Drosophila melanogaster: one gene and its partner. The gene in region 2 interacts genetically with the main gene of each other region. Each region holds a gene or a part of one and is shown on either strand. Other genes may lie near its edges.

What was found. A genetic interaction does not mean that the proteins touch.
Region 1: of Pu (region 2) and Catsup, changing one suppresses a phenotype caused by changing the other (phenotypic suppression), as found in Drosophila melanogaster (one study listed by BioGRID).

What each region holds. Positions count from the first base shown.
Region 1 is NT_033779.5:19,039,773-19,043,526, reverse strand, and holds the start of Catsup (catecholamines up), read right to left. Parts: upstream 1,666-3,754; 5' UTR 1,582-1,665; coding exon 1,203-1,581; intron 1,148-1,202; coding exon 177-1,147; 3' UTR 1-176. Other genes in the region: mib2 (mind bomb 2), read right to left, coding at 2,405-3,754.
Region 2 is NT_033778.4:21,177,079-21,180,832, forward strand, and holds the start of Pu (punch), read left to right. Parts: upstream 1-2,039; 5' UTR 2,040-2,214; coding exon 2,215-2,566; intron 2,567-2,859; coding exon 2,860-3,069; intron 3,070-3,754. Other genes in the region: CG4286 (uncharacterized protein), read right to left, coding at 738-1,055, 1,118-1,459. UniProt on the Drosophila melanogaster protein: Isoform B is required for eye pigment production, Isoform C may be required for normal embryonic development and segment pattern formation.

The DNA of each region.
Region 1 (3,754 bases), on a different chromosome or scaffold from region 2:
CCGCATTGTTTATATTGGGAACTAATAGCGGTTACTGACTGTTGAAATATAAGAAATTTAAGTAGTTGCTCATCGTTTTGAGTAGGTAACGAACAGAAATCTTTCAAATTGTTTGCGGCACACTTTCAGTACATGCAATTAGATCTTTTTTGTGTTAACTTTCCACAATTTTGATATTACTCGAACTTGGCGATAACGATCATTAGGGCTACGCCGGTTAGCAGCGCAAAGATTTCCTTCAGCGACTGTTTCAGTTTCGTAGACTCCTCAAGCAGCTCCGGCAGGACACTCACTGTTGCGATGTAAATAAAACCGCCGGCTGTGAAGGGCAAGACCCATGGGGCCGATCCGTCCCCGCCTCCAGCTCCCAGAAGAGCTAGCGCTGTGCCCGCCAAAGCTCCGAGCGCTGTGACGAGCTGCAGAAGCATTGCCTTTCGCCTGGAACAGCCAGACTTTATAAGAATGGCAAAGTCACCAATCTCATGGGGCACTTCGTGCAGCAGAATAGTGATAGTGGTCACAATGCCAATGCTGTTGCCCGCCAAATAGGAGGCGCCGATGGCCAGGCCATCGGTGAAGTTGTGAGCAAAGTCCGCCGCCAAATTCAAGTAGCCGGAAATCTCCACTTCGCCTTCTGGCTCCGCTTCTGGTTTCTTGGACTTGATCTTGGCTGGCTTTGCCGGTTTGTCTCCATCTCCGCTGTCTTCTTTGTCAGAGGACTTTTTCTTAGCAGGCACTGGTTTTGGCTTTGGTGCTCCATGGCTGTGGCCGTGTCCTCCATGACCGCCCTTTAGAATGCGTACCAGTTTCTCCACTGAAAGGAAGGCAATGATTCCTCCAAGGACCCACAGACCAATGCTCATATCGTGGCTGTGACCATGTTCATGCTCCTCGCCATCATGATGATGATGGTGATCATGGCCGTGATCGTGGCCGTGTTCTCCATGACTGTGTGGATGCGTGGCATGAGGAATCAAGTGCAGAAAGGCATCACCCAACAAACCGCCAGAAGCAAAGGCCAGAAGCACTTTGAGACGCGGCTTCATCGCCTCACTGTTGTCTAGGGGAATGATATACAGCAGCACGAAGGGAGCGGCACTGATAAGAAGAGTTGAGCCGATCGAGTGCAACCAAATGGTGCTCATATCTATAAGAAATTTGGGTCAACTCGGGCATTTTAAGAGTGGTAGTTCGTTGATTACCCAAATCCGGCTTTGCCTTGGTGTGCCTTTCATCGTGCCCGTGATGATGGTGTCCGTGGTCGTGGTCATGATCATGATCGTGCCCGTGATGATGGTGTCCATGATCATGCCCGTGGTCGTGGTCATGATCATGATCGTGCCCGTGGTGGTGGTGTCCATGATCGTGGTCATGATCATGATGATGATGGTGCTCCGCCCGTGGAGCCTTCTGCGGATCGAAGTTTTCGTTGGCTTCCCGCGAGTATTTGAAACTGGGATTGCCCTGGCCGGCGCACAACGCCGGGAGCGAGAAAAGCACTGCTCCCAGGATTACGACCAGTGCCAGCTTTTGGTACAACTGGAGCTTACTGCACTGGTAATCAGCCACTTGTTTGGCCATTTTGTCCTTTACTTTAGTTTCGCGTCGGACTGCGGCCAAAGTGTTGTGACGTGTTTGCTTTTTTTCTGGCTACGTTGTTATCGATTAGCGTGTAAATCTGGAGGTATCGATTGTTTCGCTCAAATAAAAAATAAACTTGTGTATATTTTCAATTATAAGTTGTACTTTGCCGCTTTTGCTTACATTAACTTTTAAACGGAGCTTAAGATCCGACAGCTTGCCAAGTCAATGCTTACAAAAATGCAAAACATTTAAAATTTATGCAGCGTACTGAAAGAAAATAACTTGTTCACACTTTGCCGTTACAACATTTCAGTTTTAAAATCTTTCTAAACTTATTATATATTCAATTTTAAACTAAACCTTTTAAATACCAATACAATTAAAAGTCACCCCAGCATATTCAGAAATAAAGTATCTTTATTTTCTGTAGGCTAACCACCGACATCGATTGAAATTCACTCAATTAAATAATTTTATATTTGTATATTTGCATTTAAATGACTATTAAATATTTGTATGCTTTAGTTAGTTTCCTATGTATTTATCGTTACCAGACATGGTTAAACGGGGCTAATAACTAGACACGAGAAGGTGCACATTAATTTGTTGCGTGTTGCGACGATGCCGATGATGAACCGATTAAAAAAGAACTCGTAAATTTCGTTTGTGATCAATAAATAATAATTTCGATTTGCACATGACACGGCAATGTGAGTGTGTGTTTGTTTTGTGTATGTATATATACAAGCCACTTTGGTTGCTGTTTGAATTGCTGCTGATCCTGCCGCCTTTGCTTTTCTTTCGTTTCCGTTACCGCCGTTCAGTACAGGTTGATCTTCTTGAGTATTGTCTTGCGACACATGTGGCATGTGCGGAGCGTTTCGGCACAATGGGAGCACGCGCCGTGCCCGCACAGGAAGGCCACATCCCTTTTTCGCTCCATGCAAATACCGCAGAAGTGCGACTCCTCAAACTCCAGCACTTTGTTCTCCAGATAGCGAAGTAGATCCCCGGACGGTAGGCGAGTGGGGTCACTAGGTGACGACGTGGACGTGGGCAGGGCCACCACTCGGCCGCTGACCGTCAATCGCCGCTCGATCGCCACGGCACAGCGGAGACACTTTTTCATTCGGATGCCGCACTCCTCGCAGGCGATCTGATGCTGACACGGCTCAAAGCGCACCATCGGCAGGATCTCATTGCACACAATGCACTCATGGGGACCGGGGACGATCACCGGACTGGTACTGGGTCCCGCCGCTCCGGCTTCCAACGCGGTACTGCTCGAGCTAGTGGTAACCGGAGGCTTGGGCGCCTTCTTGCGCGGTGCCACCTGTGGAGAGACGTTTTGCGGTGTTGCGTCGGAGTTCAGTTTCTTTACGCCCGGCGAGGCGGAGGGCGTGGATGGAGATGCTCCAACTCCAATGGCTGGGATATCGTTTGGCTTTGGCATTAGTTCAAATGTCTGGCGCTGCGGTGGTGGGGGTGCTGCAACGCTTCCAGGTCCGGCTCCATTGGATTCAGCTCCAGCAGACGCAGAGCTCTCCTCACCGTCGGCTGATCCTGCGGACACTTCCAAAGCTTGAAGATTCCTAGGCAGCGATTCAGCTTCGCCCTGCTGCCCAAAAATCAGTTGCCTGATGTGGCGGTCCGTTATCCACTCAAAAATGCTTGCATTGGCGTTGTTCAGCTCCACTCGGCAGCCGGCCCTCGAAAGATAGATCAATATACTGTACATCAAACGATCCTCAGGACGAATGCTCGAGTGTACTAGACTCAGGTAAAACTTGTGAATCTCAGGAGCCTCCTCTGGCTGAGGCTCCGCGGCCGACTGCAGATTGGACTTCTTAATGACGCACAAGTGCATCGCATTGTCGCCATCCTCATCCTTGGCATTCACGTCGCAGGAGAGGCGAACGAGTCGCTCGATTACCCCGGCATGGCCCTGGGAGACGGCCAGTAGGAACGGCGTCTGTTGGCGATTATTGCGTATATCTAACTCCGCTTGGCCCTCAGTGACCAGCGTTTCCACAACCTGGGCATGACCGTTAAGGGCTGCCAAATGAAGAGCCGCAAAGCCATCGTCTTTGCGCACATTGACCAGCTGGCGGGAGAGCAACAGGATACGGCGAGCAGCTACCACGTTTCCTTTAAGCGCTGCATGGTGTAG
Region 2 (3,754 bases):
GAATGGGGGGGAATGCATTCCTTATTCAGATCAAATGCCGTAATGGTTAATTGTGCAGCCCAGAGAGCCGGAGACAACACCTGCCCTGTGGAAAATGTTAATGATGCTTTAATTGCACCGCATGAGCATACGGGTCGACCAATCCGGAAGAAACCCATTGGAGCTCAACGATTTGCATTACATCTTTACAAGCGGTTTCAATTCAGACATCCCTCAAGTCATCTTCTTTAAGGGTTGCATGCACATATATAAGTACTAGCGAGGTATCACTGTACCTACGTCACATAATCTGTAACGATAATCTGCAGCTGTCTTATACTTATGTAAACTAAACCAGCCTGTGCTATTCCCAACTGATTTATTCGACCCTAAGCAGCGGTGGAAGGTTTTAATGTGCTTTACATTCCTTGTGGTTTGTACTTTTTTACAAACCCACCAAAATCTATTTCTCAGGACATATATATGTATATACATATATAAAGAATAACCTTCAACTCCATGCCATAAACAAGAAAAGTGCTCGCGATAAACCACGAATACTTTGCATGCAAATAAGATTCCGAATATATGCAGAGAATAATCAAATTTGGCCAGCTGGAGAGACTAGCTACTTTCAATTGAAGCCCCACATGTGGGATGCAGGGTTTCCCGCACAAAATGAGGACACTTCTAAGTGGGGTTAATGCTTTATTGATCGGCGTTATGTGCCAAAAAGCTGCACCCATCCAACCATTCCCTCACATAATGGTCTCCTCCTCCAGCATGTACTCCGTGAGATCGGCTTCGCCCGACAGCATGGTCACCGGCACCCGGTTCATCTGGGCCACCCGTTGACTGGGCCAGACCATCACGTCGCAACAGTTGGTCAACACGACCACATTGGTGCTCGGCGTGTTGGTGCACATCAGGTTGCCGGCCTTCTCCTGGTCGCACTTGTTGAACTTGCGCCGGAAACGGAACTTCACGGGCAACGAGTTGCCCATCACGCTCTCTTCATCGAAGTACGGCGGCAGGGATTTGTTGAAAGCCGGATTTGTGATGGCCGGCTTGGTTAGCTGATAGATGAGTGGAGTAACATCTAAATCACTGAAGCACATTGAATGTACAGATCACTCACCTCTTCGAGAACCACGGAGGTCTTGAGTCGGCGACAGGGATCACAGTAGTCGGAGGCCAATGTGTTCTCCGGTGTCTTGGTAGCACATGGATCCGGCTTGGGTTCGGGCACATTGGATCCCAAACCACTACCATGTGGCCCACTGTCACTGTCACGTTTACCCTTCGGATTCATGGGATCCTGGCCGCGCAATACGCATTCCTGCAGGAACTCTTCCTCGATGTCGATCAGTTTCTTGATGGCACAGTCCCGCTTCAGGAAGTTCTTGATCACGGACAGATTGCGGGGCACGGCGCCGATAACGTCGAAGTCATCGCTACGGAGCTGGAGGCGGTGCGCCATGACTTTGGTTCTCCAAGATGAATGGAGGGGCGGATGGTTGGAAGGGGGTTCGAATTTGGGGGAGTAGCTCGTTTCGAGTGGAATGTTTAAATGAACTACAACTTGACGTCTGGCCCCAAGTTGAGTGGGTTTCAAGGATATGCAAACAATAGTTGAGATTAAGTTGGCGCCAAGGATAAAGTGCACGTTTGAGGGCAAAAGCTTGGTACACTCTATTTAATAATATATATTAAGGGTAAACGCTACACTTATCCCAATAAGGTAGCTTTACTTTCCTAACAAGTAAATTGACCTACCACCCAAAGCTAGTTTTTAACATTTGATGGCACTATTTTCGTGGCTAGTGCTGTAGTTCTATCGCCTCCTGGCCGAGCAACAAGTTCGTGCGCGGTTTTACAGCCACTGGATGCCAAACCGTGGGCCTGCGCTCAGCTCGGTTTAGTTCCGCTCACTTAATCTCCGGCAAGCGAAACTCGGAGCAGAGCTTGCCCGTTGGATGGTCTGTTGGCTATTGATTGGAGCTTTCCGCCGCTCAAAGCTCCGCTCGAGAGGTTCTTATTGCCACCGCTGGCCACAGCAGCCACCAGAAGAGCAGAGCCACCCGAAGCGCCAACACGCGAAGACAAAGTCCGGCAGACAGCAGCGCAAAAAGAGACAGATAGCAGTGAGAAAATCATCGAGGAAAAAAGATTGTGTGCTAGCCGTCAAATTGAGTTCCATTCGAGTGGCAAACAAACCTGAGTAGCCGCACCGCCATGAGCTTTACCCGCCAACTGTCCGAGATGAGTGCCAGCGAGCTGAACGATGCCATCGACGACACCAACTTCCCGCAGGCCCACATCCTTTCGCGCGGACGCAACAACAGCGTCTGCTCAACAAGTAGCACCTCGGGCACCTCCTCGCTGGCGGACAGGCAGCAGAACCAGGCGGAGGAGGCCACTGCCATTGCGGGCACACCCGTCGAGGAGGTGGCGCCAGCTCCTGCTCTCGTCCCGTTGGCCGGCAACCAGAGACCCCGCCTCATCCTGAAGACCAACGGCAGCAGTCCGGATAGTGATGGTACACAACCGAAAACACCACTGACACCGCGTACATCGACAACGCCAGGTAGTGGTGGGTAGTGGTCCAGGACCAGGTCAGGGGATCCAGAGCTATGTTTGCTGCGACCGATTTAGTTAGTCAATGAACTAGGAGGAGGAGGAGTGCTTGACAAACTCTTTTTGAGCATAAACCGTACGCCTATCAGTGGGTTAGTGTTTCGGTTCAGAGGTCAGAAGATGCGCCTCGGAATGGGGAATAGTACTTAGACAGCCACACACAGCCAACGAAGGGGGGCAATGCCTTCCTATCTCGCATGATAACGATTCTCATCATGTTTCCATCCGTATTTCCATTTACAGGCCACGAGAAGTGCACGTTCCACCACGACCTGGAGCTGGACCACAAGCCGCCGACGCGAGAGGCCCTCCTTCCGGACATGGCACGCTCGTATCGTCTACTCTTGGGCGGCCTGGGCGAGAATCCCGATCGCCAGGGACTGATCAAGACGCCGGAGCGGGCAGCCAAGGCCATGCTGTACTTCACCAAGGGCTACGACCAGAGTCTCGAGGGTAAGCACACCACACATTTCAAGCAATTAGCACCGGGTCAGTGATCGAAGTTGCTCATCCTGGTTTTCCCAGCGAGTGGGAACTAGTTTCATGTCGGTGAATCACCATTTACGGGGGTTCCTCGGTCCGCTATGGTGCATTAGCCTAATTACCTGACCACTCGAGAGATAAAGCACATGAACATAGGGAGCCATTAGGCAATTTCGGGCTTGTCCAATCAAGTGGACGCATCCAAAATCCATTCAATATCCTATGAAATATGAGATTTGACTAGTAAAGTTTTTGGTCTCATGTTTGGCGTGCATTTCGACTTGCAGTCGCTTTTGAACTTGTCATGTAATCAATGTGAGTCGTTTGAGAAACAAAACAGAATTGCGAATTATATGGTTGCTACACCAGCATACCTAACCGGTTGCCCGAGAAATCAGGTTCTACGGTTTGTCAAATAAAATCGCATGTAAATTTAAGATCAACAGCAACAGCAGCAGGCCATTTGAAAGCTAAATTCGTTGAACGAAAGTGAATAGCCTTCGGCATCGGCAATAGAATGGGTTGGATTGTGTTTAACCCGAATTCAAAGAACCCAAGAAGCCGAGCCAACGTGACTTGCCAATCTGGTGTTGGGGGAACTCCACCCCCCTCCCCACCACACACACAAGATGCTTGTTGGATTGTTTGTTAGATG